Linked DNA regions of Drosophila melanogaster. The protein of the gene in region 1 purifies or fractionates together with the protein of each later gene. This does not show direct contact. Each region holds a gene or a part of one and is shown in the gene's direction. Other genes may lie near its edges.

What was found.
Region 2: the proteins of Mi-2 (region 1) and simj purify together in Drosophila melanogaster (affinity purification with western blotting; 5 studies listed by BioGRID, with this or other methods). This does not show direct contact.
Region 3: the proteins of Mi-2 (region 1) and HDAC1 purify together in Drosophila melanogaster (affinity purification with western blotting; 5 studies listed by BioGRID, with this or other methods). This does not show direct contact.
Region 4: the proteins of Mi-2 (region 1) and MTA1-like fractionate together in Drosophila melanogaster (co-fractionation; 3 studies listed by BioGRID, with this or other methods). This does not show direct contact.

What each region holds. Positions count from the first base shown.
Region 1 is NT_037436.4:19,905,432-19,913,306, reverse strand, and holds the start of Mi-2 (Mi-2), read left to right. Parts: upstream 1-3,091; 5' UTR 3,092-3,227; coding exon 3,228-3,264; exon of another isoform or gene 3,265-3,673; intron 3,674-3,727; exon of another isoform or gene 3,728-4,109; intron 4,110-7,875. Other genes in the region: Mtr3, read left to right, coding at 1-716; Prp3 (precursor RNA processing 3), read right to left, coding at 979-1,733, 1,788-2,829. UniProt on the Drosophila melanogaster protein: ATP-dependent chromatin-remodeling factor which acts in nucleosome-remodeling by catalyzing ATP-dependent nucleosome mobilization. Involved in regulating transcription. Plays a vital role in development.
Region 2 is NT_037436.4:10,661,079-10,668,959, forward strand, and holds the start of simj (simjang), read left to right. Parts: upstream 1-3,660; 5' UTR 3,661-4,292; intron 4,293-7,881. Other genes in the region: CG8003 (uncharacterized protein), read left to right, coding at 497-703, 772-1,545, 1,606-1,848; Adi1 (acireductone dioxygenase 1), read left to right, coding at 2,368-2,490, 2,572-2,649, 2,712-2,839, 2,997-3,090, 3,150-3,287.
Region 3 is NT_037436.4:4,623,461-4,631,962, forward strand, and holds HDAC1 (histone deacetylase 1), read left to right. Parts: upstream 1-3,273; 5' UTR 3,274-3,479; coding exon 3,480-3,522; intron 3,523-3,959; coding exon 3,960-4,072; intron 4,073-4,150; coding exon 4,151-5,396; intron 5,397-5,491; coding exon 5,492-5,655; 3' UTR 5,656-6,007; downstream 6,008-8,502. Other genes in the region: axo (axotactin), read right to left, coding at 6,356-6,772. UniProt on the Drosophila melanogaster protein: Catalyzes the deacetylation of lysine residues on the N-terminal part of the core histones (H2A, H2B, H3 and H4).
Region 4 is NT_033777.3:5,643,558-5,651,886, reverse strand, and holds the start of MTA1-like (metastasis associated 1-like), read left to right. Parts: upstream 1-3,148; 5' UTR 3,149-3,362; coding exon 3,363-3,390; intron 3,391-3,976; exon of another isoform or gene 3,977-4,616; coding exon of another isoform or gene 4,617-4,671; coding exon 4,672-4,833; intron 4,834-7,616; coding exon 7,617-7,724; intron 7,725-8,109; coding exon 8,110-8,329. Other genes in the region: Sec23 (secretory 23), read right to left, coding at 85-633, 702-855, 918-2,167, 2,227-2,505.

The sequences.
Region 1 (7,875 bases):
GCAGAATGAACATGGGTGTTCTGAATTGCTATGTGAATTTTGCGGCCTTCAGCACAGGGGATCTAGATTCGGTGCCGGAACGGGAACGCCACCTGAGCAGCATGCTGACCAAGGCCATGGAGCCGGTGGTGTGCCGCACGGAGTTCCTTAACTTTCAGCTGGACATACGGGTGCTTATTCTCGACGATGACGGCTGCCTGCTCAGCACTGCCATCAATTGCTGCGGAGTCGCTTTGGTGGAGTGCGGCATTTCCACTTACGACTTAATTACGGCCTCCACAGCTTGTATCTATCGGGATCACGTCTTCCTGAATCCCAGTGCCAAGGTTGAGGAGCTGCTCTGGAAGCATCGCAACAGCAGCACCGATAGCACAACCAGCCCATCATCCGCCCAGGAGCACGGCCTGATCATTACCGCCAGCATGGATACCTTTGAACAGATCGCCCAGTGCCAGCAGTGCGGATATCTCAGTCCAGCCACCTATGTAAAGCTGCTGGATTACACCCTGGCCATTAACAAGTCCCTGAGAGAACTAGTCAAAGGCGTGCTCACGAAGCGGGTGAAGGAGCAGCACGAACTAGATCTACGCGAGAAAGCCGAGACCGCTCTAGAAGATCAGCGTTTGGAGGAAATAATCGAGAAGCTAAAGAAGCAAGGACCAGAGGAGTTTATACAATCGAACATCCGGGAGGATCCCTATGTAAAGAGGCAGTAGTTGGTTGAGAATAAATCATACTAATATAAATCCCAGATCTATTTGAACAACAACCACCACTTAAAAAATGATTACTACAAATATTTAGAGTCCAGATAAAACTTTTATTCGTTATTTTTGCACTTCCAAAGTTCCGAATAGCTTCGAAAATAATAACATCAAATGCGTAGCGCGCTTCAAAACTTTAATTCAGACTTGTATCTTTCCGAAAGTGAATTTGTAGAACTGTAGTGTATCTAGCAATTCTTAAAATGCCTTTTATCTACTGCTGATCCGTGGAGGCCTCAAGCACGGCTCCGGAGTAGGCCAGATCCCAGTAGTGTTCGACCTGGTGCTTCTGAAAAAACTCACGGGCCATTTTTTCCATTGGAAAGATCTTAAACTTGATCTCGCCAAAGTGCCGTCGCTGACTAGTCCCCTCCCAGACGAGTACGCATGAGTTCGGCACGTCCTGGCCGTCATTGCCCTTGGCGTTGTCCTCCTCCCACTTAATGCGCGTTAGCATGAGCCTGCGATACTTTTTCTGCTGCTTGGGCCCACCCTCCACGACAACCACACAGCAATCCCGGAACAACACCACGCTGCCGGTCATCTGCAGCTGCTTGGCATTGGTCTCCACCTTGAATTTCTTGCTCTGGTTGTCCTGCAGATCTCGTATGCGATAGACGCTGACATGTACACCGCAGCTGGTGTCTTCCCTCAGCTTGCGCTGCTTCTTTTCGCTCTTCTGCTCGCTGGTCAGCTTGCGCGCATTGTTGGCATCTTCGTGCGCCTTCTGCCGCTTGGCCATCTGGTCGCGCACATGCTGCTCCATTTTGGTCGGATCTTGTACGGCCTCCGAGCCAAGCACACGCATCAGGTTGGATATGCGCAGTTTCGGCTCTGGTGGGGCCACCAAACCCAGTCGGATCTTCTCCTGCTCCTCCTTCCAGGCCTCGCGACGGTTCTGGCGACGAAGCTTTTTGCGCTCTTTCTTTGTGAGGAAAACCGGCAGATACACTGGTTTCAAGGGCTCATCTGAAGGAGTAGGTGGTTAGTTGCTTGTGGGACATGTTCTAGCTTTCAACTTACTTGGCGGCTTCATTTGTGTGGGATGCTCTATAAGGTTGGTTATGGCTGTTTGGCGTATGCTTATCTTACCGCTTGCGTCGTCTACCGTCTCCAGATCCTGGGTCAGTATAACTGAGTCCCACCACTCCATGGCAGGCACATCGTCCGGCATGTCCTGCTTGGGGGCAATCAATGCCAGTTTGGTGGCCGACGAGATGCCCGTTTTCCGGGCTATTTGCGAAATCTCATTCTGTAGTCGCTCCAGCTGGCTTTTCATGCGCATTCGTTCGGCCAGCTGCTGGAACTTTCCGGGCTCGTGGAATCTCAACGTCCTCTTGGTTCTAACAGTGGGCTTCAGGGCTATGCGGTCGTCAAAGTACTTAATAGCTTCTTCCTGGGCCGAAGTGCCCGATTCACTCCGTTCACCCAAACCCGTTTGGCGTTGGAACACCTCCCGTTTCTTGGCGCGTATGTTGGCTTTCAATGTAGGTGTCACCGTGGGAATATTAATGGTACGTCCGCTCTTGTCCACAGTGCGTCCTTCATCGTCCAGAATCAGGGGTTTGGGTCGCTCCTGCGCTTGAGCAGCAGCTGCAGCGGCGGCCGCTACCGCAGTGGGCTGAATCAAACTAGCCAAATTGCCAGTAAGCTTGGCCCTGATCTGTGCCTGCAACTCGGCAATCTTCCTGGCCTTCTCCGAGTCCTCGGGCGTGGGCTTCTTCGCCAGCGCTTGAGTGGCTAAGGCAACTGGCATTCCGATCGATGGAACTGACGCCAGCAGCGGATCCTTGTCTCTTAGATTACTCAGGGCCCGCTTGCGTTCCTCGATCTCCCGCTGGGCATGGGCCATCATCAGCTTGATCTGCGTGGAACTCAGCGAGGCGGGCACGGCGACCTCTTCTTTCTTCTCACCACCGCCGCCATTCTTTTCCGGGACATCGAAGCGGGATTTCTTGGGCGCTTCAAGGGCGCTTCCACCACCACTTTTGGAATCTGAGGCGGCAGCGCGCTTTTTGGACAATTTCTGGTCGTCGCCATCCTTGCGCGTGATAATGGACGACATAATTCGCAATTAAATGGGTCGGACTAAAAAGTAAATGTTATTTACCAACTGCTTGGCACATTCCTTGAGCTTAAATCAGCGATTTGCAATTCAAAAACAATACACAAGGTTTTTGGTCTTTGGTGAAAAATTCTCCGAAACACGTTAGGACAGGGTCGTTAAAAAAACATAAAAGTCAGGGTTGTCATGTCGCCAGTGTGACCGTTTCGCTTTCTTTTATCGGGGTGCAACCCTAGTTCTCTCACTTTTTGTCGCTCTCCGCTCCGCCATATTTGTTGAAGCCGCTTACAATTGACTATTTTTTTCTCGTCGTGTCTGTGTGTGCTTAATTATTTGTTGTGGAAATTAAGACAATTTCGTGTGCTCAAACAGTGTAAAAGTTGCATTCGAGTGCTACAATGGCATCGGAGGAAGAGAATGACGATAATTTCCAGGGTAAGTGCATTGTTTCAGTCGGCCAAATGTCGGCGTGAAAAAAACTCGGTCCGACCGTCGCTCGGTCAGGCTAAGAACCGTGGTCATGTTCAAGAGCCGCAAAGCCGCGCAGCGTGCTGCGTCCCCCTCCCATTGTTTATTGTTGCCTATTATCCTAATTGGTCATTGTCATTGCTGTACCTCGTTATAAACTATTTGTATTACAGCAATTGGTGAAATTTGTACATGTGTGGCGCGTTTTTTTGGGGTCTTTTGCGCCTCCTCCATTCCACACATATTTTTTATTGCATTTTTGTGTTCCCTCCATTCGCGAATGCAGGCAATATATAGACGTCCTGCTCACTCATCAAAACATATGTTTTACATGGTTGTTTTGGTCGAAAGTTTTGAGTGGAATACTCTGTAAATCCTTTAAAATTAAGTTTTATCTTAAGTTCTTTAGCAATTAAGATGTTTACTTTACCTGTGAATTGTCAAGTGTCAATTGTAATATACGGAAAATTCATTTTAGTTCACACTTATTGTGGTGTTACCGTATATGCAGTGTTATCATCGGCTGTGCAATGGTATCACCAGAAAAATAGTGTGCCCCTTTTGGAGCTAGTCGAGAATGCCCAGACGGCCTCATCTGCCACCATTTACATTCATTGTTGCTTGGACGTGGCAGCCATGACGTGATTTCTGAGTTTTTGTTAAAGAGATTACATTATTAATTGTAGAGAAAACTGTTAATTAAGGGGAATACGTGCATTACTCGCCACCGCCTACCGATTGCCAGTGTAAAGCCACAAATCCAGTGCGTAATATATCCAACTGAAGGAAAAGCGAAAAAAGAATGATGAAAAGTGTGTGCAAAAAATAAAAACCTGAAATTACCACAAAATATGCATATATATATTATAAATTGTGTAAGAAAGCAATGCAAAAAGAAAACGAAGCAATATGTGCATATATCTAAAGAAACGAAACAAAGATGCGTGGAATATTGTGGAAAATCTTGTCGCACTTCCACTGACGCACATACATATGTGATTTTTTCCACTCCCCCTTCGCCGACGTGCTCTCTTGATTGATTTCTCCACTCTCTCGCGTACTTGCGTCTCTGTGTGTGTGCGTGTTATGCACGCGCGCTCCAGCCAAACGTCGCCGTCGCCCCGTCTCTGTCGCTCCAACGTATATGATAAAAAAAAACTCACAGAAACCCGACGCGTTTAAATTAAATTTAGTTAAAAACAACAACAAAAATATAGCTACCAATGCAATCCTACCGAAGTGCCTGCAAAACAACTAAAGTATAGTCTTTTTAACGAGTTAATCAAAATATGCCAACACACAAGTAAGATGAAGAAGGAGAAAAGTAGAGTGTGGAAAAGAGACGATGCCAAGGGATGGGATGGGAAGGTGCCCGTCTCGCGAGGAAATTGCTGGAATGTAGTAGTAGTTCATAGGAAAACTGATAAACAATATGCCGCCGCTGTGTAACAAAAAGCAGCAGTATCCATAGCCACCCCAATTTTGCATACAATTTATGTTAATTCGTTCGCAGCTGTTCCTCTTCTGTCTACAGGCCTCTTCTCTCTTCTGTCCCTGCCCTCATTCGCCTCTCTTCTGCTTCTCCGTTCGACGCTGTTGCACTGTGGGCGTGTGTATGTATATGTATACGGTGTGCGTGCGTGAGGAAGTTATCCTAGAGAAATAGCGTGGGAGTAGAATTCAATGTCTAATTTTAACACGTTCCCCTCCCCGTCCTTCGGTGCTCATTCTAATTGGATTCGCTGCCGTTATCCTTCGATACATCGATAGGAGGATGCTTAATTCGCTCTGTCTTTTCCCTCACGTTTGTGACGTCAGCCAACGTTGGTTCTTCCCCATTTTTCTTCTTCCTAATTTCACCATTTGCCGGTTCTGTGATAATTTTTATGATTTGCTGCGCTATGCTGTCTTTAAAATTGTTTACTTTAACATTGCCATCCGATTTCCGATTACTCTACCACAAGTAAACAATCAAGAGTAATGCGACATCGCATAAATTACAAAAGGCTAAAACGATGCACATGTATGAGTGCCACTATTTATGCAGTAATGCAACAATAAAAGGGTGTGAGAGGGATAAGAAGGTTTCGGCAATGACGTATGCATTTTTCCTACGTACACAGCAAGAAATACGCAATGGCATTTGACACCGTTTCAATGTTTCATGCAATTAAAGCACATATCGATCAAATGTATTAATAATAATGACATTCATTACCGCAACTTTGTATCTTCAAAAGATCCAAATAATTTGATTTTTTCGTTGTTAATCTGAGCATTCTTGTCATTTTTTTATCAAAAGCTTCGCTGTTGCCGACTGCATAAATCTGCTTAAAACCCCATGTCTAACAACAACAACATGGCGCCAGCACAAATAAAATCAAAAATTCAATACAAGAAGTGAAAGTATACTGTGTGTGTATGTGAGCTGCAGTTACTGGTGTATTGGTGACGATCTTACCTTGCTTTGGCGAAACACAACTTGCCATCCCGCTCGCACGCACTGCATTCAATCAAGTCAACAACAAGTGGTGCTTTTTTATATCCGCCATGTATATACATATACATATCTTTATAAATATATATGCTTGTATAATTGGTAAATGGTATGTGTGTGCTGGCATTTCGAAAAAGTTTACTTGCGCTTAAAGTCCACAAAACTATGAAACATAAATAGGAAAAGTAAATATTATTTTAGCTTTCAAATACGTTCATTTTTATTCAAAAAACGCTCTCTCAAGTAGAACAACACTAGGTCGCTTCGATAATGGTTTTTGTTGTTCTTCTTGATTTTGACATTTGACGCGCATCGTTCGAGTCCGCTCTATGTGCCTTTCTCTCTTTCCAAGCGGTTTGATATGAGCGTGTGTGTCGCTCTTCCGAAGCGAAGGTGTTGTTGTTTTCGGCTGGAGTGAATACAGAGACGCACACATAAATACTCACAAAATCGGCAGCGTTTGACATTGATTACCGTAATACCTTTGGTTGGTCTGTCAGTCTGTGTGCCTTTTTAATATTTGTGCAACTGCTGGTTGTCTTGTTATTTCACCTATTTACAGTAATTGTCTTGTTGTCGCTGGGAGAGAAGGCCGCTATTTGTTTCAGATTATTCCTACGCCAATGCACACACATTACTCTCGCACACTGTCACAAAAATTCAGGCAGCAATTGATATGGTACATTTGTTGCCGTTTTTTCTTTTTTGGAAGTCACCGCCACCGCAAACGTATACACATGTACCGGATTGTGTACGGGTTCATTTATTTTTAAAGCATTCAATGTAGTATTATGGGAATGTGAAAATTAATCGAAGCTTATCACCTGTTGTACTGATCAATTTTATCTATCTTTCCGTTTCGCGTGTGTGGGAGTGTATTAGAGATGGTTTTAGGGTTGTCAAACTATTGAAAATTAATCGATTGTTACCATTCCAGTTACATTTTAAATGAAATCTCTGGACATTCTTCGAAAATTGTTTGTTTTTGACTGGCCCAATTTAAATGTGTTTATCTAAGCTCAATTACAGATGGGCATATTTGTATGTAGCAAATAGGCAATGTGTTAATGATTGTGATCACAGATCACCTTGCATACCTGTAGTCCCTCTGCAATTAAATGCTTTTTTAGCATATGAGGTGAAAGTGAAGGTCATTAATATTTGCATATGGAAATGTTTACGCAGCGAAAATGCCGAAACATAAATGGTCATATGGCAAATGCTGTTTCGTTTCGTTTCGTCGTAAAATTCGCTTGCCATCGGACGCCATTGTGGTTTCCGTTTCTGCTTCTCTCTTGCGCTCTCTATTTTCCTCTTATTCTTGTTGTGTTTCTGAAAAAAAAAAACAAGCAGAATTGTTTTTGCTGTTTTTAATAGCCTTAACTTAATTGGTTCAATAGTTTTGTAATTGTTATCGGGCTCCGTTTGCGGCCCACAGCAAAACCAAATTTGTGCTCGATTGTCACCGAATATAGGTTTATGTATGTTTTCTGGGTGTGTAAACAGACAAACAAATAAAACAATGGCACGCGAATCTATGTGTGCCATTTGCCAAAACATGCGTAATTGTGTCAGCAAATTTGTGTCGTTCCTGCTGTTTTAGCGCATTAGCGAATGTAATCGAAATCATCATTTTAATCGGCTCTCTTTGCGCTTCACTATTGTCTAATTAGCCAATTAGTCGCTCGCTAAGCCAATGCGACAGCTTGTAAGCTCGGCATTGCCAACAAGGTGCATAATTGTTGCCAACGACATTGCCAGCGCCCACTGTTTACAGTGGAGGTCACGATTTTAGCACAGAATTTCAAAACATTTCTGTGTCGATGCGTACTCGGTCGTAAAAGAGCGAACCGAAACTCAACTCTAGATAGAGAAAATGTACTTAATATCCATGTTTTTTTTTTTTTTTTTTTTTTTAAATCCTTTAAAGTATTCAATGTGTGATTCACGATTTAAAATTGTGGCGTTTTTAAGTTTTTATCCGCAAAAGGAATACAAATACCAGAGGTGTTATGACTAATTAGAGAAACCCTAAAAATATGAATCATAGGGATGCTGTGGCATGAAAATATAAGTAAACA
Region 2 (7,881 bases), 9.2 Mb from region 1:
TAATGCTAACAACACCTTAGTGATGGGAATTGAGAAACACACAATTTCATGATAAATAAAAAATTATTCAATAACGTAACAACTTATTTAACCTATATATATTTATGTATAAGCAAATTTATGGCTCATAAAGAAACAAATTTTGCAAAGAGAGATTAACTGAAACCTACCAACATATCTTAAGAAAATTTTATTATATAATATAATATAATATAACAATACAAAAATATATAAGATTATAATACTTATACTTAGTAATTTTTCCATATATGCCAATTTCCATATTTTCTGATTTTATAAAACTCAAGATATATATGATATTGTTTTAGTTTCTTATTGTACCATATCGTAACGATATATCGCACGCCAACCGCCGGACAGTGTTGTGAAACTGTGACAGTATCGCTGTAAGCACGCCGAAAACAGTGGAGTTTCTTGATTTCCATATTCCGAAGAGCACTTGAAAAATCCAACAAAAACAAACAATCGAATCACAATGACCGAGGAAAGCAAGAAGATCGTACAGCTGGACGACGTGCAGCGCCAGTTGCTGGATCATCTGGCCAAGAATGACACCAGTGGATTCAAGCAGCTGCTGAGCGGAGTGAGGAATGTTAATTTCGTGGACGACACCGGGATGTCGTGTTTGGCCCACGCCAGCTTCAAGGGAAACCGCGAGGCGGTGCAGCTGCTCCTGGACATGGTGGGTACATCTGCCAGGCAACCACCGCTTGGGCTCTAAACATGAAATAACCGCCTTTTCTTCCACAGGGTGCCGACATAAACCTCAATCAGCATGGAGCTGATTATACGCCACTGCATTTCGCCGCTCTATCGGGCAATACACATGTGTGCCGGCTTCTTTTGGATGCTGGCATCAAGCCGGGTAGCATCAATAGTGTCAACAGGACCGCCGCCCAAATGGCCGCCTTTGTGGGCAACCACGCCTGCGTGGAGACCATCAACAACTATGTGACCCAGTCGAGTTTGGAGTACTACACCCAAGTGCATGGCCAGCAGACGGAGCCGCATATACCACCCAGCTTACTCAAATCGTTCCACGCCTTTGTCACCGAAATCAACCTGCATCCCGTGAGGATTGCCCTGAATGTGCAGTCCTTGGGATTGCTTAGGATCCTGTCCAGTCTGCGCAAGACGCTGGCTTTGATGTGCGAAAAGGAGATGCAGAAGTCGCATGACCTCAACGAGCTGCTGGCCTTCAAGTTCCATTATCAGGGCTGGATTTTGGCCGAACTAATACGCTGCGAGGAGCAATTCAAGGCGCAGCACAAGGAGAAAAGTGGCGAGGAGGCGGGCGATGCGAACAAGAACGATTTCATCGAGATGTTTGTGAAGCGGGTGCTCAAGGAGAACAAGCTGGGCCAGCTGGACTATGTGGAATACACGTTGCGCGAATGTGCCAGGGAGTTTCCCGTGAGAGAGTGCACCATCTTCCGGCAAATCGCAACGCAATTTGGCGCCAAGGATGCCCCACCAGCACTGACTGTCCTGCGAAATGCCATCAATGGGATGAGGTGGATTACGGTGGGTATCATGATCTCATAATCAAATGATTCTTTTCTAATCTGGAAAACTAATTTTCAGGACGAGGGCAACTACTGCAGCACCTGCGGCGCCGAGAAACCGGACAAGAAGTGCTCCAAGTGCAAGGCGGTGCAGTATTGCGATCGCGAATGCCAGCGGCTGCATTGGTTCATGCACAAGAAGAACTGTGCCCGCCTCCTGGCCCAATCCCAAGCCCAAGCCCAAGCCCAGCCGCAATCGCAAGCGAAGGGAGCCATTGACACGGCCGAGCTGCGCGAGGAACTGTCCAAACTGACTGCGTAATCCTGTGCTCCTTTGTAACGCCAATAAATGTAACATAAAACCAGAAACCTAGCATTTTCGCGTACTAAAAGATTGTTAGTACCAAACTGTCAGATGTCTACACAAATTAAACTAGATAATAGTAACGAAAGGCAAAATTGCACGCTACAAATTCAATTAAAGTCAAAACATACAACAAACTGCCCAAAAATCGTATATCTATCGTAAAATAATAAAGAGTAATAATGGAACAAAAAAAAAATAGAAAAATAACTCCTTTTGAAGGTTATTAAAATTATGGTTATTTTACGTTTTAAATCGAACATTTCAAAAATGAAGTTTTTAAAATAGCAGTATTTCGAACACAAAACTAACAGCATTCATTTTCGAATGTTAAGTTAACAGCACTAGCGGCATTCGCCTGAGTGTCTGTTATCGATTTCGAAAATTCGAAAACGAACAGCTGATGCCAGTTGAATTTTTCTTGTTTAATCTATTTGTTGCTCGTTGCTCGTGAAAACCCGTTTAAAACAGTCCAAAATGGTGCAGGTTTGGTATATGGATACGGAGGAAACCGATCAGCGCCTGGAGCACCACCGCAATCCGCCTGCCTACTTGGAACTGGATGATCTGTACCAGAAGACCGGCGTGGAATACTTTAAGGCAAGTGAAAAGCGAAATTGCGACTTTAAAAACCTTAAGTGACCTTGGGGGCGAGCTTATCTTGATCATTCACATTTGCAGATCAATGCGGACGAGTACCAGAGCGATAATACCCTCACGGAACTGAGGGCAAAACGTGGCTACACCTACGATGATGAGGCAAGATCGATGTTTTCTTGAAAAACATCTACCGAACTTTGGTAAACTTCGAATTATTACAGATCACATGCTCGGAAAAGTGCCTTCCAGACTATGCCAACAAGTTGAAAGCCTTTTTCACCGAACACCTGCACACGGATGAGGAAATTCGCCTGATATTGGAGGGATCCGGTTACTTTGATGTTCGCGAGTAAGTTTTGTTTATTTACACCGCATTTTATAGTATCCCAGCCACATTTTCCCAATTAAATAGTTCAAGCATTCATATTCTTACTGATATTGTTTTTGCTCACACTAATAACATTTTTGGAATTGTTTTAAAACGGAAAACTATTTATTCTTTATAGCAATGAGGACAACTGGTTGCGCATTAAGGTTGTCAAGGGAGATCTGATCATTATACCAGCTGGCATATATCACCGCTTTACTTTGGATACCAATGTAAGTTATTTTGACAATCTTATATACAAACTTAAACTATTTGTATTGTTTTTTCTTAGAACTTTATCAGAACTCGTCGCTATTTTGTGGGCGAACCTGTCTGGGCTCCACACAATCGTCCTGCTGATGAAATGGACTGTCGCAAATCGTACATCAAGCATCAGTCGGAAAACTTTGTGCAATTCAATAAGGTTTAAAAACCTTAAATCTTATCTTTTACCATCAAGTTTGATATTTTGAAATATAAAATCGCTGTGTATAATCAATAGTTTCAATAGTTTTTTGTTTAACTTACAATTTTCGCTGATTAACGTAGTTTTGATATAGAATTCGAAGTCTATTTTCTATATCAATAAACCCCGCCAAAAACTTGATTTCGAATTTTATCTCTTAGTTGGTTGCTGCATATGCTAAACGTACTTTCGAACTCGAATCTCAGAGAGTACAATTCGCGGTATGACCGTACCAGCGCCGAAGAGAAAAAACAGCGCAAGTATATAATCCCAAGCGCCAGCGAAAGTATCGAGCCAACATCGATGCGCGTGCCATCGCTAGGAAGGAAAACAAAACAAACACTTTTTTACTTTTTCATCTCTCGGATCGTTCGGACGTGCTACGCGGTCTCGTCTGTGTGTGTGAGGTAGTGTGCGTGAGCGGAGCGGCGAAAAAGCACAATTGAAATTAAATCGAGTCGTTATCTGTGGATTCGGCGGATACAATACAATATCGTATCGTTATCTATTTACAAACAAATCGACGTGGATTAATAAAATGCCGCACACGAATGCTTAAAGCGGCCTATCTGTGTGTGTGTACGTGTGTGTCTATGTCTTTGTGTGTTTCACTCTCTCTTTGAAATAGTAAACAAATTGCGTATAAAGTTTACAGCAAAGTAAAAGACAAACAAAAATATTTATATAAAACAAAGTATATTCTGCAGTGCGTGTAAAATATTTCGAAAAGTAGCCGCAAAAAGGCAGCGGCGTCGACGTCAGCAGAGCGCGGGCTGCAAGTGTGTTGGTGAGGCGTATATACATACATACCAACGCATAAGTGCATATATAAGGTGGTACATAAGCAGTGTAATTAATTAAGTGAAATCCAAATAGTTTTGTGCATGCGAAATTGGAAAAATCGAGAGGAGTTCCGCAGCAGCAGCGCAGCGGCAGAGGCGCCACCGACTAACGGATTTTCACACGCGGGTAAGTTTTCTTGTTTTTTTCCCCCGTTTTCTTGCCCCAAAACAGTGCTAAAATTTTCATTACGCCAAAGAGGAAAAATTCAATATGTATATGTATGCTCCATCTCCAATCGCTCTCTCTCGTTCGCCCCGCTCTCTCTCTCACTGCCACTATCCAATTTAACCTCAACCGGTCTGCTGCTGCGGCGTCTCGTATGCATGTCGCCCATCTGTGCGCCTCCTTGTGTGCGTGTGGTTGTGTGTTTGAACAATCGAGGTCAATGCAATAGTGGCAATTAAGAAAAGTCATAAAACCCAAAAGTTGGTTGTTAAAACTGTCTTACAAAACAAACTATAAAATGTACAATAGCTTAATGATTGGCACTAGAATTAAATACTTATATGTATTGTTATCAAAACAATGAAAGTAATATGAATTACTACTAAACGCCAAACACTTCAATAGTTTTTTAAGGTAATATTTAACACACATTTTTAATTTGAATTTATTAATTTTCTCAATGTTTACGCTCTGATCTTACTGCTATGGTTTCGCCCTCGACTGTATGCATCTGCATAAGTGCCGTTGTGTGTGTTGGTGTTTCTGTTTGTGTGCGCTTGTCATTCGGCTCGTTAAAAATGCTCTGCCGACGTCGCAGTTGGCGTTGGCGGCTTCTTCTTTAACTCTCGCGCATTATTTCGCAAAGCTCCAAAGCCTGCTGCTTCTTCTTCTGCCCCCCCCCTCCTGTTATTGTTGTTGCTGCTGCTAGCCAGCCTGCCTTTCTTTCTTCTATATTGACAATTTTTACAGCTTTTATCTGTTGTTGTTGGGACGCCATGCTTAGGAGCTTGTCTCAGCTGCTACTTTTTTTCCTGTGTCGCTCGACTGGGTTGCCGCGGTTTTTCCTTTTTGTATTCGGAAGGGGTTGTCGCCGCTGTTCGTTTTTCTTTCCGTTCCCGTTATCTATACACACATTTCTCGCTTATGAATGAGATTTGTTGGCGGTCTTTTATGTTAACTGTGTTAATGAACTTTTTCCCATTCGTTTTGTATTTGATTCTGTTTTACATATTTATACTTGCTAATTACCCGCACGCACTTTTTGAGCTTTGCAACACTTGTTAATTTCTCGAAAATTACCCCCCGCACACATACACTCATGCAGAAATGCACTTGTTTCGCAAACTCTCTCTCCCATTCGGTTCTCTCATTTTTGGGGTTCCCCCCTCTCTCTTTCTCAACCATCCCGCAGCGCACGCATTTTTCGGCAATGTTGCATGCTCCAAAATACAAATACACAGCCATACAAAAAACCACCTTGCTGGCTGTCTCGCTCCCACACACAAACACACTCGCATACAGACGCACGCACTAAAACCCGGTTCGTCGTTAGTTTTAAACTTATTTTGGCATTCTTTATGTGCACTGCATTCTCGACGTCTCGTCGAGTCTCCCCATCCTCCTCTGCCACCGCTTTGCACTTCTCTTCGCCTTTCCTCCTCTCTCCGCTCCTTTGCTCTCTGCTTTTGGTCTCGATTTTACGACCCAGACCCGCATTTCTAGTAGTTTTTGTTGTTCTTGCTTGTTGCAATAGTTTAGTTGGTGTTGCTGTAATTGCAATTGTTGTTGTTTTGGTTTCTCTGTGGGTGGGGGAGGGGTGGCTATATCTGAACTAGTTCACAGCGGATCAGGTGAAATCCGAAAGTTAAGAGGAGTTAAAAGTTCGCTGAACCTATTTCCAAACTATTAAACCATCGGTAATTCAATTTGTAATAAGATTTATTTCAAGAAAATGAGTTTTTAGCTATGCGAATTCTTATCTTTGCCAAGTATTATCGTAAAATCAATGATTGATAAGAATTTTGAACTTCTATAAATTTCAATGAGGCAAAATCAAATAGAATGCAAATAATAAGTCTTACACATTTGTAGAACAAAATAAAATATACATATCTATAAAATGCGAATGTAATTAATTGATAATTAGTAGCTCCAACCAATTAGCCATGGAAAAAGTGAATCGAAAGAGTTAAAATATATCTGGTAGGTTGGGAACTAGAATGCCCGGTTTCTAGATTTATCGCTGTAGATTTTAGCGTTACCTTTGTTTGTTGCCGTGTCAGCTCCACACAGGTACCACTCACCCGCGCACACACACACACACACGCGTGTCGATTTACCTGAGTTTGCAGGTGAGTTTGCCAGTGTCTGTGTTTGTGTGTGTGAGTTTAGGGGAGCTTGCTCGATAGCCGAAATTCTCTTTTCGTCTTTTCGTGCGTTTTTGTTTGTGCAAGTGGAGCAACAAAAGTCGACGGCTTTGCAGTATCGCTGCGCTCTTCCTCTTCCTCGTTTCTCCTTCCCCTTTTCACTTCATTTCCCTCTCCCCACCCCCCCTGGCACTTGTTATCGATATCTGAAATTTTCATCTAATTTCGCTTAAAGAGGTCAAAAGTTCAGGAAGTACTTCTTATGCTTAAGAGCACACACAAAAAGGGAGCTAATGATAAATATAAAATATTATACCAAAACGGTATAACTTTAACATGGTTTCTTTTCAATGTACATCATTGTAAAGTTATGATAGTTAGGATAGGTTAGTTTGTGGCAAATGCTAGAATAGCATAAAGTTAACTATTTGTTTAAGTCCCACATAAATTTAAGAACTGCCCGTTTTCTAATCGATTTCTTCTGGTTGTTCCATGCTCATGGAAACTTTTGATTCAAGCCAGTCCCATTTCAAAGTTGTTACCACCCAATGCTTATAGATAGGCTTCTGTAAAAGTTGCAATTTTTAGATGACAACTGCAATTGGTTGGCGATTGGGCATGTTTCGGGTGTAATATCTGTTTTTTGGGCTCAATCTGCCGAATGCATTGCAAGTGGAGCTGTGTTTCTGGCTATTCCATTCCTGCATTCCGGGGAAGCAAACATATTGCAGTTGTTTTCTATTTCGTTTGCTGCACAAGTAACACAGCCCACCGCCACACCCCCCTGTCGCCACTCATGCAATGCTCTATGTACAGCTTGCAACAACAAGGCATCGCAAGCCGAAATGCAGTTTAAAGCGCAACTAAAACTAAACAGAGCTTTCCACTCCAAGTGGGTGTCTCTAAAAGTGGGCGGTGGGTGGTGGGCGGTAGGTGATGGGGAGTATTTTCGGTGCTATATACATACATACGTACACATCTGAACTGTATGTGTGTTTGGTTTGGTTTGGTTTTCCATGTATGGAGAGTGTTGAGTGTGGAGTATAGTGGATTTTATATCAAAAGTACAGTCGCTTATTGCTGCTGTTGTTGTATTTCATAGTTCGTAGGTATATACATACATATACGCACATACAGAGGTACATAAATTGCATGTTCATGCCTCAATAGTTGCATGCAGCGTCCGCAGCATTGTTGTTTTTGTTTGGATGGGCAGAGGGTGGGCAAGGGCTCGAGGGTGATTGCTGCCAGGGCGGCGAAGGGGTTGGGGTTTCTGCAGTACCTAAGCCAAAGCCGATGCACCAAACTAAACTCTCTGTTGACAAGTAAAACAAAAGCCCAGCTGCAACAGCAACAGCAACAACAAACACCGAGAACAATGAATCAAAGTTCGCAAGCGATTC
Region 3 (8,502 bases), about 15 Mb from region 1:
TTTTTATTCGTTTGGATTCTCCTTATTGCACCTCCCACGCTGTGTTATCCCCTTCATCCACCACCCGCTCCCCTTTTCGATTGACTCTATGCCTTTGTGGTCGTCCGTATCATGTAAAACGCTTTGTGTGCAAAATAGGAAATTTGAAGAAGAACAACAACAGCGAGCGAACTGCGAGCAAAATAGAGAAATGAAAAGATCTCAACAAGTTTGCCGTTAGTCGAGCTAAGCAGATTTACTTGTTTGAGAGCATTTTGCGATTGCCATTTTGCAATGATTTAGCAGGGGGTCAAAGACGAGGGGGCACTAAAATGGAGGGCGAAGGGAATGGGGCTTAGGAGCGGACAGCGGCCAAACAGCATAATTGCCCAGTTGCACTCAAATGGATCTCCATTGAAAACCCCCACTCACCAATTAAGGGTTAAAGAGCAACAGACTCCAGAAGAAGCGGCCATAAATCTGTACAGTGATAAACGGCTATGATTTTCAACGGCCAACATAAAGGTCACAATCAGATAAGATTTGTGATTCGGATACGTACACACACATATTTATATTAAGGTGTTTAAATGAGCTCACCAAATTCGAGTATCAATACACCTTAATTAATCTTAAAGAATCAAATCGAGTTCTGACGAAGTAACGCTCTCAGGACTGGAATTTCTCTGCACTTCCTGAAATTAAGTTTCCTGTTTCGTTTTTAGTTACCTTTAAGCGATAGCCACTGTACACAAAAAATGTGAAGCAAAGACAAACTATTTGCGGTCTTTATCAGCGGCTGGCCACAAAAAGTAAAAGGAGAAAAAAGGAAAGACAACTGAGGGAAAAAGGAAAGAAGTAGCAAAAACAGAAAACAGACGGCAGCAATGTTAATTGAAGGGGTTTAAATTTTTGGAGTGAGGGTGAAACTTTACTGCAACAGATAAGCTACAAATGTACAAAAAAAAAGAAACGAACAAATAAAAAAAATAATAAAAACAAATTTTGTGGCTTGAACTTCAAAGCACATGGAGCGATTTAGAGTAGAAGGGAAGAGGAGGGGTTAATAAACAAGCCACCAAAAGGTAAATAAATAAGCACAAAATGCCGAAAATAGCGCACAAGGGATAAACCAGATGGAAAGAGCGAGAGGAAGAGAGAGAGAAGGAGCAGCTGCTGCGCCGACGCCTGCTGCTCTTGAGCTTCTTCTTTCCATCTCCCTTCCCCAACCCCATTCACTCGTCATCCAATGGCTCTCCACAAATTGGAAGCAATTACAATAGCAGCAACAACAAATGCTCTTTGACTTTTTACAGCAGCCGGAGCAATAACTAAATACGGTAGACCGTCGATAAAGTGAACCAAACACAATTTAGTGGTTGCAAATAAATTTTTAGAACCAAATTATCATAAAGCTTGAAATGTTTTTTTTTTTTCAAATTTACTCCAATTGGGTATTTTTTTAAGCGCAAAGAAGCCTGAAGAAATGGTTAGTATGTGTCGAAATATAACAAACAACAAGTCTTAAGATTCCTTAAGTTAAGCTTTATTCCATTTCTTCATTATTTTTTCATCTTTCGACTTTTCACTGTACACATTATCAGCCACAGAAGCATAAATAGAAATGCAGCGGGAGAGCAAATCTAGCACTCTTTTTTTTAGTTTTTGTGTTTACTTATTTGCGTTCATTGGCTTCTCTTCCTAACGGCACTTCGGGCCAAGGAGGTGCGAATGAAAAGGAGCTATAATCCGGTTTTATATCGCACTTACCTTTTTTAATTAGAATAAATCAAAACTTTGCTGCGGATTCCGATTCTCTTTATTTGCTATCAAAAGCAAAGCGGACTTTACAGTTACGCCTGTTAAAGTTGTTGTTTTTACTGCACGGTCTGCGGGCCAAATAAAAACAACAAATACTATATTTTTGCTGTTTACTTTACGCCGAACTTCGACGCTAATTGGAAAAAGAGATGCGGGAAGGAGAGAGAGCAATGAAAACTATAATTAAACGCCAGCAAAAAAAGGTCTTAAATATCCTGCGGGCACAGCAACAACAACAGAGAAAAATACAGGAGGAAAACCAAGAGAAAGAAGGGGAGAAGTTAACATAAAGTAACAGAAAGTTGCGAAGGAGAGGCGTTGGTCTCCGAGGGGGAAAGGCATAGGAAAAGACTCTTAAGGGAAAAAGAGAAAAGTCGGAAAGAGAAAAGCTGCGCAGGATATTTTAGCCGCCTATGAAAAATGTTAATTTTGTTTTAAATGTTCACTGCGGGTTTCATATGTTTTTTCTTGCATTATTGGCCACTTCGCTTTGTCACTTTACTTCGGTTTTAATTTTTCCACTTCTTCATTCGCCCAGTGAGTGTGTGCGTGCGAGGGAGATGGAGCGAGAGAGCGTGTTTGTGTTTCCACTGCAACTCCATTCTTCTTTCTCTTTTTTCACACACACACACAGGGCACACACGCACACTTGCACATGGGGGAGTTGGAAACTTACGCGTCGCCGTTTTATTAATTTTATTCAATTAACAATCGCCTCTAATTCAGCAACTCCAAAACACTACAAAATCTCGTTGTACTTGAGCACTATTGTTTGTCGATAAGAAGCCGCCGAAAAACGCCGACCGAGGAGGAAAATCACCCGCGCTGGAAAATCGCGTCCGAGTCGTTCAACGGTGAATTTTAGAGTGAGAAGGAAAATCGTGGGAAACTGCGGTGGATTTTAGAGCGAGATGGGTGATGCTCTGAAAGAGAGAGAGGGAATGCACCCTCTGGCGATGGGCCAAGTTCGATATTAGCATGGATTCCTATCGATTAATCGACTTAACATTATTTACCCCGGACTACAACCTATTACTTCTGTGTTTTTGTTTTTCTTAAATTATAATGAATCATTTATATTTGTATAGAAAATATTGAAATCAATTAGTTTATTCGAATGCTTAAACTTAAATGTTTTCCAACAACATCTCTAGTTCCAGCTTCAGACTCTGCAACGTGATCTTAGCCAATAAACTTTGCTTTATAAACTTATAATTGATCCTTGCTATTTTTCCAAAAAATATGTCGTGATATTTGATAATTTTTGATAAGTACATAGGTCTGATTGTTTATATATCTAATAAAAAATGACCACTCTGTATGAAGAGGGTAATCGTATTTCATATGTAAATTTATTAAATATATTTCTTTAATAAATAATTAAATATATTTGTTTGGTATTTTCGGTATTCATGCAGTTAGTATTAAAAGTATATTCTGCAGAGCCGGGAAGTGTGGATTTAAAAAAGTCCGCGGTCACACTGCCCATCTGCAGAGGTTTCCTCTTCGCGAATTTGTCTTGTGCGCTCCGATTTTGGCTATATAGTTGCGCCAAAGTGCCAAAAATCGGACCGGCACCAAAGTAAACCATCTTCTGAGCTCGCAAGTTCATCCGATCGACGAAGGATAGAAAAACATCGACTTTAAGGGGATTTAAGACCCGCCAACAGCACCGCAAAATGCAGTCTCACAGCAAAAAGCGCGTTTGTTACTACTACGACAGTAAGTTTTGAGCATTTAAATGGAAGTAAAAGGCCTACTAGATGGGTAATTTGTGTTTACAAAGTGCCAGCTAGGGTTACCATGTCGACTTTGTGTTTTTTCCGCATCCACTTAGCATCAGATGATAGCATTTTTGCAAATTTCAAGTTTTACGGCGACTGTACGAGCGCGTTCCGGTCCACAGCGCACTTTTTCCATACGACCGCAGTGCGTTTGTATGCGTTTGTGTGTGTATGTACCTGATGTCTATCTTCCTCTTCTGTGTGTTTTTGTTGCTTTTTCGTTCGGGGCGAAAGTGCTACTACTGCGGTCGTTCGGAAAAAGTGCTGCTCTCAGGCAGACGCCTCGCCGACAGTGGCCTTAAAATTTGTATTCCACATAGCGTGGCAAATAATTACTTTTTCAACGTGCTCATAATTGCGATTTTTGATCCATAGGCGACATTGGCAACTACTACTATGGCCAGGGTCATCCCATGAAGCCCCATCGCATACGCATGACCCACAACCTGCTGCTCAACTATGGGCTCTATCGAAAAATGGAAATATACGTGAGTTACTTTATTAATATGTGATGATAGATATATATATATATATGATAGATTTAAACGCGAATTTCTCTATTCTAGCGTCCCCATAAAGCCACTGCCGATGAGATGACCAAGTTCCACTCGGACGAGTACGTCCGGTTCTTGCGATCCATTCGGCCGGACAACATGTCGGAGTACAACAAGCAGATGCAGCGTTTCAATGTCGGCGAAGATTGTCCCGTCTTCGATGGACTATACGAGTTTTGCCAACTCTCCGCCGGAGGATCCGTAGCTGCGGCCGTAAAACTGAATAAGCAAGCCTCGGAGATCTGCATCAATTGGGGCGGTGGGCTGCATCACGCCAAAAAATCGGAAGCCTCGGGCTTCTGCTACGTCAACGACATTGTTCTGGGAATTCTGGAACTGCTTAAATACCATCAGCGTGTTCTCTACATAGATATAGACGTCCATCACGGCGATGGCGTGGAGGAGGCGTTCTATACCACCGATCGTGTGATGACTGTCAGCTTCCACAAGTACGGAGAGTATTTCCCGGGCACTGGCGATCTGCGAGACATTGGCGCCGGCAAGGGAAAGTACTATGCGGTGAATATACCCCTGCGTGATGGCATGGATGATGATGCGTACGAGAGCATATTTGTGCCCATTATCAGCAAGGTGATGGAAACATTCCAGCCGGCAGCCGTGGTGTTGCAGTGTGGCGCCGATTCGCTGACTGGCGATCGGTTAGGCTGCTTCAATCTCACCGTCAAGGGTCACGGCAAGTGCGTGGAGTTCGTGAAGAAATATAACCTGCCATTCCTGATGGTCGGCGGTGGTGGTTATACCATTCGTAATGTATCCCGCTGCTGGACCTATGAGACCTCCGTTGCACTGGCCGTGGAGATAGCCAACGAACTGCCCTACAACGATTACTTCGAGTACTTTGGGCCCGATTTTAAGCTGCACATTAGTCCCAGCAATATGACGAATCAGAATACATCCGAGTACCTGGAGAAGATCAAGAACCGTCTGTTCGAGAACCTGCGCATGCTGCCTCACGCTCCGGGCGTTCAAATCCAAGCGATTCCCGAGGATGCCATCAACGATGAGTCCGACGACGAGGACAAGGTCGACAAGGATGATCGCCTGCCGCAGAGCGACAAGGACAAGCGCATTGTGCCCGAGAACGAGTACTCCGATTCGGAGGATGAGGGCGAAGGCGGTCGCAGGGATAACCGTTCGTACAAGGGTCAGCGGAAGCGGCCGCGTCTCGACAAGGACACCAACAGCAACAAGGCATCCTCAGAGACGTCCAGCGAGATCAAGGACGAAAAGGAAAAGGGTGAGTGATTAACCATTAGTCATTTTAATTGGTTCTACTGACCACTTGTAATTTGTATTTAAACCCTACTAACTAAACCATTATGCTGTTTTCAGGCGACGGAGCTGATGGCGAGGAATCGACGGCGTCTAATACCAATAGCAACAACAACAGTAACAACAAGAGCGATAATGATGCCGGAGCGACAGCTAATGCCGGATCCGGTTCGGGATCAGGTTCCGGTGCCGGGGCCAAGGGCGCCAAGGAGAACAACATTTGACGTGGCGGCCGCAATTGGTTATAGAAGCCAATTAAGCGACCGCCGAAGTACAAGCCACCGGATTTCACCTAGTGTCGTCTCATTCCCGCGCCCCCCTTCACCAACACGCCCCGTAGCCATGTCCAGGGCTTTTTCTACACGCCCCTACACAAGGTCCCACTGCGATCGGCTCCTTTTTTTCAGTGGGAATATTCCCAAAGGGGGATAAATCAGTAATCAGTGGGCGGAAACACAATTTATTTTAAGATCGAAAGTGTATAGCTAAGCAAAAAGTGAATGCATACTTACAAGCGATCCAATGTGGCGAATAACGCAGAAACTAATTTAATCAAATAAAAATATTTATACATTTATTGATTTTAATTTTAATGGAAAATTAATTGAGCTGCTATCTTTTAAATATTTTCTTTTGGAAGTATTCGATTTCCCATTTTTAGCAAAATACTTACGTTTCCACATTTAGGTTTCTTAGTAACAAACTAAACGATAATTTGTAACAATTTATTTGTATTTTAACTAGGACTAGCTAACAATTTTTAAGATTTTAACTTTGAGTTTCTAAGTTGAGGAGATTGTGGCATTTGGGGGGGAGAAAAGGATCCACTGGGGGTTTTCCCGCCCACCAGTTGACAGTTTGTGACTAGTCGGCGAGGTTTTCCACGGATTGCAGTGGGCGGAGAACTGGAAACTGGCTGCGGTGCTAATCCAGCGATAATATCGAGTCGATGCTGGTGCGATTACTGCGCGGCTGCAGACGCGGTCCACCCAAGTAACTAATTGGATTCGCGAACTGGCGCTGCAGCAGTGAGTTTTCCAGGAAAAGCGTCGGCGGCGGGGGTGGGCGCGTCACTTTCGAGTGATGCTGTCGCATCGGCACCAATGGGGATTTTCCTCCCGGCTCCTCCGGATTTTTCACCCGACTCGCTGGCAGAGAGGACCCATTGGCATTTGTGGCTACATCAAAGGACTGCTGCTGCTGCTGCTGCTGCTGCTGCTGCTTTGGAGCCTCTGTGTCATCGGTCGCTTTGTGGCGGGATTTGTGTTCCTGCGGCTGCCGCTGCTGCGCTTTCTGGGGGAGATTGGGCATGAAAATGGCATCAGGAGGTTGGATGGGATGCTGGATTTGGTGTGTGGCGTGTCCGGAAAAAACGGTGGGCGGTGGCGGTGGCGGCGGGGTGGGAATTCAGGAATTTAGATCAAATATTTTTCAGGGTTTAATTCTATTTGGCTTTAGTCAAAGTGACGTTCAATGGACATGGACGATAGTGTAGGGGTTCATGTTTGCGTGTGTCCAGAGAAGAGATAAAGTTTTATAATTATTTAAAGGCTTTGAAAGATAGACAGAGTGGATAGCGAGGGGGGGGGATGACGGTTATTCAAGCTGCATTTTCAGCTGGCAAAAGTTTATTTCAGTTTTTTTTTGTCTTTTACGAGATTTTGGCAACTGTCGTGATTTGGCACTTTGTGTTGTTAATAAATGCACTAAACTGACATGAAGGTGTGCACATAGAACATCTAAGGGACTATATGATTTATGATTTTATTTTTTATTTCGACTTGATATGCAAAATAAGAGGCAAAGATGCGTTCGTACACAATTAATTAGTATAAATCACGAAATAAAAGTTGCTTTAATGTAAGAGTAGAGTTATAAAGCACATTTATAGAGGTAACTTCTTTAATCAAGCTGTCTATTAAGCAACTAAAAATGTATTTTAATAATCATTTGAATATTCCCTTTTCTCTAAGTGCACGCCTTGTGTGTGCATCTCCTGTATTGCATTCCGTATGGCGGAAACCGTCGAAAATCCATTTTGCTGCCCCATAAGCCCGACCCCAAGGCTCCGGCCAACAAAAGGCGCCACGTCAGGAGCCCGAATGGTGTCTTGGTAACACGAAACCCGCCAGTCACTTCACGGGACTTTCTATGGCAGCCCCCCCTATTTTCCTATTCTCAAGGGGCGTGGCATCGCCAGCATCAGCCGAAAATCGACAACAAGGCAGACGGCCAACGCGTTTCAGTCAAGTGCAAATGTGTTGGCCATGTCAATGCATCGCTGTCGCCTCCCAGTGAAGGAAGTTAGCAAAAAAGGTTGCAGATAGGATTGCTAAATATCCTAGCCAGAAATTAATGAGTAATTCAAACGAATATATCAATTAAAATACAAACTAAAAGAGATGAAATCAAAAAATAAAATAAAAATCAGTATAGCAAACAAAAGGAATTTTGTGACACTGAGTTGATTACAAAACTATTCAACTCTCTGCCATGGGGTATGGAAAAAAGCATTTAAAATTTTATTTTAGCTTTAGCTTTTCATACTTTTCCATTTCACATTTGCATGGGACGCATTTCAGTTTCATTTTCCAGCAGTTTTATTGTTCTTGGCCGAAGGTTACTCGAGGCACTGGAGGCAGTGGCAGCATTGCAAACAATAAGCAAAACTTGCACTTTCATCCATCGCACTGACACTGACACACTTCCTTAGCCCCTCGATCTGCCACGCCCCCTTTCGGGGCTCCTTTGGCAGTCGTATTAACATTGTTGTTTCACCACATTTTTCATTGCATACTTCGCGGCGCGTGCATTTCGAATATGTTTGTGTTACGAACTTTGCCAAGTCATCGCACAAAGGTGGAAAATTCCAATTTATTACCTGCCGCATGCGGAAAATTTTTGCTATTTTATGAGCTATTTTACAAAATATTTGTTTTATTACTAAACACTACTTTTGAATAGCGGGGAAATGCCAAGCATAAAAACAATTGATATTTAATATAAGAAATTAATTCGAGAGCGACAAATTTTATCATTGAAAAATGTGATATTTATTTCCAATGAAATTA
Region 4 (8,329 bases), on another chromosome or scaffold:
GATTAAATTTTCGATGACGCCAAATGGAGCGCTGCAAAGATCAATCAAATGTGGCCAGTTGATGGCGCTGGCTGCGAGACTCACCTGCCCGTAGGCGTACATGTTGTTGTGCGTCTGCGAGGGATTGACCTTGGACAGCAGGAAGCGGGCCTGGGATCCGCCGTGCTCCGTATCGATGTAGCGAGGCATGGGGAAGCGCGTCTGAAGAATCTCTTGCGCGTCGTCCACCGGTGCTTGCAGCAGCTGCTTGAAGTTCTCGTACTCTGGCATGTCCTGGTATTTGAGGGCTCTCCACTGGGCGATGGTCTCGCCGTGGTAAATCAGAATCTGAAAGAACGTGTCCATCAGGAGGATGCGATCCGCCTGGATGGAAGCCGTATCGAGGAGGACCGGTTCTGGAGGGCCGTTGAACGAGTAGCTGTAGAGAATAGGCTGGATCATGATCAGCGATTGGGTGAGGTCCTCGCGCATTAGCATGTGTCGATAGAATGTGGTCTCGTCGGGCGAGTTGTTGAAGACCTGCAGGAACTGCGAGCGGCGCAGGTGGTACATGAATTGCGGGAATAGGCTGAAGTTTTGCGACAGCCTGAAGCTGTTGGGATCGTCCTTTGAGTACTCGCCGAACTTTTGGCACTGTAAAAGGAAAGCATTTACAATACTAATTAATTGGGCACGAGTAATTTTGCACATTGAAAACTTACCAGACGAATCAACTGACGATCGACCCAGCGCAGAATGTCGGGTCCTTCGTCAGTCTCCGCACGATAGACGACCATACGGGCCATCAGAACTGCGGCGGCCTCCTGATCGAAGCCAGCGCTGATGTGGTGCACGTTCGAGGTGGCATCGGCCCAACTGAAAAACAAACAGATTGAACCACGTAAGTAAACTCTGGGCTGATTTATGCCAACACATACTTTCTGGCCAGTGTGGTAACTCGGATTCGCCGCTGTCCACTTGGGTGCTGGTACTGCGTAATGAACTGTATGCAGCCACGCCCGCCCTGCGGAATGGGGGCTGCATGCTGGTTGACCACCTCAAAGAAGTAGGCTACGGTGGAGCTGGGATTCAATGTGCACAGCTTCCACTGCACCGTGTTGCCCATGCCGATCTCCACATCCGACACCGACGGGCTCTTCACATTCAGCGACACACACGAGCCGATGCCACCGGAGATCTTCAACTCGCGCGAGCACTTCACCTCCAGCGTGGCATTGAAGGCCATCTTCAAGTCGTTGCGACCATCACGTGCGAAGACGCGTTGGAATGTCTGCTTGAAGAGCGATGAGTTGAACGAATCGCCCATGACCATGTGGCCGCCAGTGGAGTTGCATAGCTGCTTCATCTCCAGCAGTCCGGTTTGGTCCAGGGCACACGAGTATATGTCGACACTATGCCCGTTGGTGGCTGCCCGCAATGCCAAAGCATCATAGTGTTTGATAGCCTTCTTCATAAACCGCACGTTGTCCTTGTGGATGTCGTGATGCGAACGAATCGGGTGCTTCAGCTCGTCGTCGACCACCTGGCCGGGGCCCTGGGAGCAAGGGCCACCCACGAAGGTCATAATGCGACCGCCCGTATTGGGATAAGTGCACTCCAACAGGCCCACCGCAATAGATAGGGCGGCACCAGTGGAGCGCAGGTAACGCTTGCCCTGCGGCACCGGCCAAGGATCGCGTTGCAACTCGCTAAGCAGATCGCCCAGCGCCGCGTCGCACTGGCCGATCGGTTGCAAGAAGCGATGGGCGGGCGGCACAGGGGCCGCCGCTCCAGCCGGCTGGCCGGGCAGGTGCTGCTGTTGCTGCGGCCCCGGAGCCGCTCCACGCCCAATTCCGAGCATATCCTGCACCTGCTTGGCAGTCAGGTCCTTGGTACCACGAAACACATAGCTCTTAGAGCAGCCTTCCGCGCCCAGCTCGTGCACCTGTATCATTTTTCCGAAGGTTATCAGACCCACGAGAGCGTTGGTTGGCAGCAGACTTAGCGACATTTGCAACGAATCCTTGAGGGCGTCCAGCTCCTCCTCGTCCATGCAGGTGTCAACCAGGAAAATGAAGACGGGCGGCATGGTGGGGGCCCGTGTAATAGTATACTCAATAGTGCTGAATCCCGGAATCAGCTCCGCTGGTTGGTGCTGCTCGGAAATGGCAGCATATTGAGGGGGAAACTGGAATAATGACTGTCATAAACTGCCGCAGAGAGTCTAAAGATCACCATTGAGCTCACCGGATTGCGCTGAAAACAGAAGTTGCACACCCACAACTTAGCACGGTAGTCCACCTGGCACAGTGGATTCAGGATGGCCCTGCAGTTGCTGCGAGTGCACAAGACCGGCTCATATTGAATAGGCGGTAGGTCGGGGCGCTCCTTCAAAGGCTGGTAAAGACAAGCTAGGGGCACCACCAGCCGACTGGCTTCGATGCGACTTGAGGGCCACACATTCCACGTCAGCCGCACTCCGTCGCGGTCCTCGTTCTGCTGGATGAACTCCTCGTAGGTGGTCATCGCCGGAACACTTAAATGTAATACTTAAATCGGAAAAACCTCTGTTAGACCTCTGCCAATTGGAAAAATCGGTCGGTCAGGCCACGTCACGGATTGACAGCGAGTCGTGACACCTTTCGTGCTGGCGACGGCCAAAATACTCACGCGAAAGTAAACAAATTCGCGAGATGAGTCTTTAAGAGGCTCTTCAAATCAAAGCACTCACTCTGGAAACAATTTATACAAACGTACAAAACGTAGAAACCTAGACTACGAACTATTACAGAATTTTAAGTGCAAACGTTGCATGTTAGGGAAGACAGTTTTCAAGCGATACTATCGCATGCGCCCCATGCGATTGAATGAATGTTTTAATATGAGAAAAAAAGGGTGAAAATAAATATGTTTTGAAAATGATAAATAAAACAAGGTTCGCCCATAATTTTTTCAGTTAATTTTCTTAATGATATATATTGTTATTCAAGAAGTATATATAATATAAATAAATATAAATCGTATTCCTAGAAAAGCCCCTTATCGTTTTTCTTATCGCCCCAACTAAATTTTAACATTAAGTTTTTACCCAACACCCCATGTATCGATTGCTATCGATGGCCAAACTATCGCACCGTGGAGTGCATCCCTGGTGCAGCTGTTTACTCGGCATTGTGTGTGTGTGCGTGTATTTTTTAGAGTTGAGTTGTTTCTAAGATGGCGACGAAAAAAACGCGTCTTCTTATGTGAAAAATGCAATCATAACAACTCGAGTTTTCTGCTAATAAATGTGCGCTAGTTTGGAACAGGACCATTGAAAAACAGTGCTAAGCGTGTGCCGAGTGTTTTGCATGTGAAAGTTTTGGTGCGGTAGCGTAGTGAAAATGGCCACAAATATGTATCGAGTCGGAGGTGAGAAAAATTTTCGCGTACTCGCTTTTCTATCATCTTTCGTTATCGGCGCCGCCGTTTCACGGTGTGCGTGTTCGCTTCTGCATATGTGTGTGTGTGTCCAATGTGTGCGTATGCGTGTGTGTTGTGTCTGAGGAGGCTTTCCAACAATAACGAAAGTGCATTTTAATTGCCGAAAACCCTTTAGTGGGAGACCCGACGCACGTGTATGTGTGTGTGTGTGCGTGTATTATCAATCTCAAGAACAATCCGTCGAAAAGGAGAGACCTTTTCTATTTTTTTTAACTTCTTTGAAGGAGCCCCCTGCTGCTCTTGTGTCGCAGCTGCAGCAAGTGTTTTCGACGTGTTCCAACCGATAAGCATTAACTTATGCCCTAAGTGTATGCGTGTGTGTGTATTCTAGGGCTGGGGAACTGAATTGCATTTGCATTTGGATTTGGTTTTGCCGAATTGTGATCTCTCCAGCGTGTGTGTTTGTTTGACTATGTGCGAAAGTGTATCTCACTTTTGGGCTCACCGCCCACCCGCCTTTTTGTGTTTTCATATGCTAATGAGCTTTTGAGCATCTCCCCCCATCTCACGCCTCCCACTCCTCACCCTGCCTGACGCACTTTCTGTTAGCCATCTCGCTCGCGCTCGAGCGGTGACGTTATTGTGTTGTCTTCACCTGATTTTCGCAAGTGTGTGGGTGTGTGTGCTCTTTCGAAATGCAAATAAGCTCGGTCGGATACGCAAGCTTTCAATTAACGGAATCAAAATAAATATTAATGGCATATATACTTGTCGAATTATCTGCTCTTTATCGCCGAGAACTTTTTGTCTCCATCGGCGTTTTTTGTTAGCCGTTTTTAATGGCCACGCACACAGTTACACACCTTCGGCAATGCTTTCTCGCTGCCTCCACACTTTCTTTTTCATCTCTCTTCATCTATCTACCCATCTATCTGTGTATCTGCATCCCAAAATGTAGCAGAAGTGCACACGACGTTTGTATCTATGTATGTATGTACATACAGATAAACGGAATTTCTTTTATTTTTTATAATAGTCAACGACAGGTTCCGCTGCAGTTGTTGTAGGTATAAAGTTATATGGATGGATAGACCCATATGTATTTAATTGCGCTTTAGCTGGTAGTGGTGGTCGCACTTAGGTGGATGCGTGTATAGGTGTATGTGTGCGCTTACCTGTGACGTATTAATGGAGTTGCAGCCCCCCACCCTTCCATGCCCTTTTCTGACCCTTTTGCATCAGCCACCTCAAAAACTGTTTTTTTTTCAGACTATGTTTACGTTGAGACAACGCCGAACAGTCCCTACTTAATACGACGCATCGAGGAGCTGAACAAAAACCAAACCGGCAATGTGGAAGCGAAGGTCATGTGCTTCTACCGCCGCCGGGATCTGCCCAATCCGCTCGTGCAATTGGCCGACAAACACCAACGTGAGTAGAGAAACCCTGTTCCCTCGAAACCGCATCCATATCTTGCGTTACGTTACCTCTAAGTGTGTATATTTATTGTCAACAAAGTGAGGTTATGTTGCCAAGAGTCGTTGTCGTGGCCTTCAAACAAGTTAAGAGTTAAAACCTGACGACCAGATCTGCTAAGCACATGCCCACCACAAAACAACAACAAAATGAACCCGTAAGGGGCACCACTGTGTGCGCTGTGTCAAGGCATGTGGAAAGCGAAGCCACCCACCGAACCACCCAACCTCCCACAGTGCCACCCCATCCCGCAATCCTAGTCAAACTTCCTGAGCAACAAGAACCGCAATGACAACAACTGTGAGGGCGGAGCGAAAACGGATTTCGTCCAGCATCCGACTCATCCACATAAACAGGCAGTGGAACCTTCAAACAACCTGCCACATCAACTGGCAGTGTAACCACTCTACTTCGAACCAGAAGCACCATTGATCTACGTTCCAGTAGCGCAATTTGAATTATTCGTGTCGCAAATTAGAAAAAGCATTTAGCAAATAGTCTAAAAAGATATTGGTCATAGAAACTAGGTGTTTTGGGAACTGGTAATGAACATAAACACGCATCGTGGTGCGGAAATAGCCTGTAAATTATTAAGTTCAACCTTAGGCATACATATGTACATACGTTAAGGTGCCACCGGTTTGCTCTAATGATGCTCGACTGTAATGAGCTGGGCTGCACTATACTACCCGTAATGCGGTTGTTGCTGTTTTCGGTTGCTGCTAGGCGGCGCCGACGTCAATGTGAATGTGATACTTGGTTCGGCTGTAGGTAGACTACAGTAGTAGTCTGTCTACCTCTGAAAAGCTGCCACACATACCCATGCCCAACCCAACCCCAAACCCACTGACACTGCTGCTCTGTGTGCACGAAAATGTTCAAGTCAGAAGTTGGGATCTGGAGGGGATTGGAATGGAGCAGTGGAGTGGAGTGAAGCTATGGCGATGTGGCACACGCAGGAAGGCGCGCTTTGCATTTGTGTATACATACACACAGCGCCTTCATCCACTTCCTCTTCGCCGTTCCAAAAAACTCACAAAAACCATGCCCAATTGGGTTGAATTTTTGGCTTTGGCCACCCACTCGAATTCGATACGTGACCGTCGCGAAAATGCGTTTTCCGTGGGTCTGACCTGGCAGAGCAACCCACCCCAATCCACCACCCCATTCTACCTCCTACACTCCCACAAGACCAACAATGCCCATTAACACAGCCCCTTTCGGCCCCAACATCATCGGACCACTGTCATCTTGCTTTATTTTTAATATAAGTTATCCATTACGCTCCACGATCCAGTTTTTATTTGCGTGCGTCGCCTTTTCGCAGGCCACTCGCTAATCAGGCGCAGAAAACTAGCGTAAAAATATACATTTGAGGCACAAGTGTGCCGCCATTCCAACCCCAAGCTACGGACTTGATGCAAGTATCTTTGAAAGGTGGTTTTCCGAACTCCAGAAACACTTCAAAACCTTTAAAATAAAATGATTACTATATTTTATACTTCTGTTTTACTTTCTGTTAGTTTCTGTTCTGTTTGCCACTAGGAAAATGGTATTTTGTTAAGCTTAGAATGAAATATCTAAGTACTAGCCAGTACTTACGATCATTAGCATAACATTATATTTACTATTTTAATTATTGTTAAATGTGATAGTACATAGCTCACAGCCTAAAATAACCACTCTCAGCGGCTAATCACATTGTCAATAGCAGACCTTGAAGTTTGCCGGGAATTGGAAAGGGTATAGAAAGCAGATACGCTCGAATGGCAAACAAATCCCGCAGCGGCGCACCCACCCACTTGTGTGTCCTATCTATGGCCACCAAATAACGCCCAAGCCTTTACCCCTCCACCCACCACCCACCGCCATCCACCATCCTCCGCCCCTTTTTGATTGCTCTCGCTTCGTCTTCGAAACAAGCGCAAAATACAAATACACAAATACACGTACCCAGCTTCGGCTCTTTTCTGGGACTCAGGCCATGCACCCACGCCCGTGTGTCCGCCGAGGAGGTGTGGTGGTGCTGTCCACCGCCCACCTCACCTTCCTCCCCTTCCGCCCTTTGCGAAATGCCAAGCGTATATTTTTTAATCAGCCCAGCGAACTTCCAGGAAATTCATGAGGGTTACTTTCGGATTTCACAAAACACAAATTCCGGGAAAGCTGAGATGTATATTATATAGATAACGTTTAGATTCAAGTAGCGTCACTTTATTAAAATAGGGACATACATACATGTATGACCTTTCTTTGAATTCGCTTAAACATTTTCAATTGTATTGCTTGTATAAAAAAAAAATAATATTATTGATAATATATTTGAAGTATAGGAAAGTTGGACAAATTGTAAAACAACCAGGAATTTACTTTTTGCTTGAAGGGTTCTTTGCTCATCTTTTAAATTTGTGTATCCTAGGGAGTTGTTTGGTCTTTTGGTACATTAGTGCGATTTCATATCATTTATGCTTGGTGAGTCCTTATCGAGAAGGAATATATATGGTCGTCATATATTTGTTTGTTCGTATTACCATCCTGCATCCTTAGTTCCTTTGCCTATGACAACGACTCTTAAAAGATTATTTCTCACCTGTCTTCGCATTCAGGTGTCTCTTTCAAACTTATTAACTAAAATGCTTTAACTTATAAACATGATCTCTGTCGATGAACGCATTTCCCCAAAACGCACCAAATCATACTCCTAACCATCTTAAATCTAAAATAACGCATCGCATCAGTGGCCACCGCCGAGGACTCACCGTTGGCGACCAAGCTGAAGAAGACCTGGCTCCGCACACCCGTAAGCGAGGAGCAGGCGGCGCAGGCTGTGCTCGATCCCTCAATAGGTACCACCTCCAGATGATTACTCAAATACTATCTCTGCCACTTCCGTAGACCCGTAGACCCAGACTCAGACTTATGCCCTCATTTTGTATGTTTTGCACTTTATGTAGAGCACGATGGTAATTTCAGTAGTGTAGTAACCTATCTAAGTTGATAATCTTTATGCATAGTTCTATTCTGGTTAATGGGATCATAATTTATTTTTAAATTCAATATACCTGATATGGAACACCTGATTTGTATTATTATATTTATTATATTTATATTTATTATATTTAAATTTTATTTCATTTTACTTTAAAAGTTAACTCTAGCTTAAATAATCAGTCACCATCTTAAAATTCCGAACCGAATGAAAGAATCTAATGATTTGGCTTATTCTTTTAGCTGCCCTGGATGAGGAGCGCACCAGTCCAACGCAAACGTCTGGCGGAGGAGGCTCAGCCACCGGGAACTCCGGCAGCAACAGCAGCGGCACTTCCAACAACAACAGCAGCAGCACTGCCATCGGAGGTGGAGCGGGAGGCTCCGGAGGTGCAGGAGGCGACGCGGAGAAGGGCGAAGCGTTGACCAGCAAGCAGCGCTATCAGATCAAGCACCGCGAGCT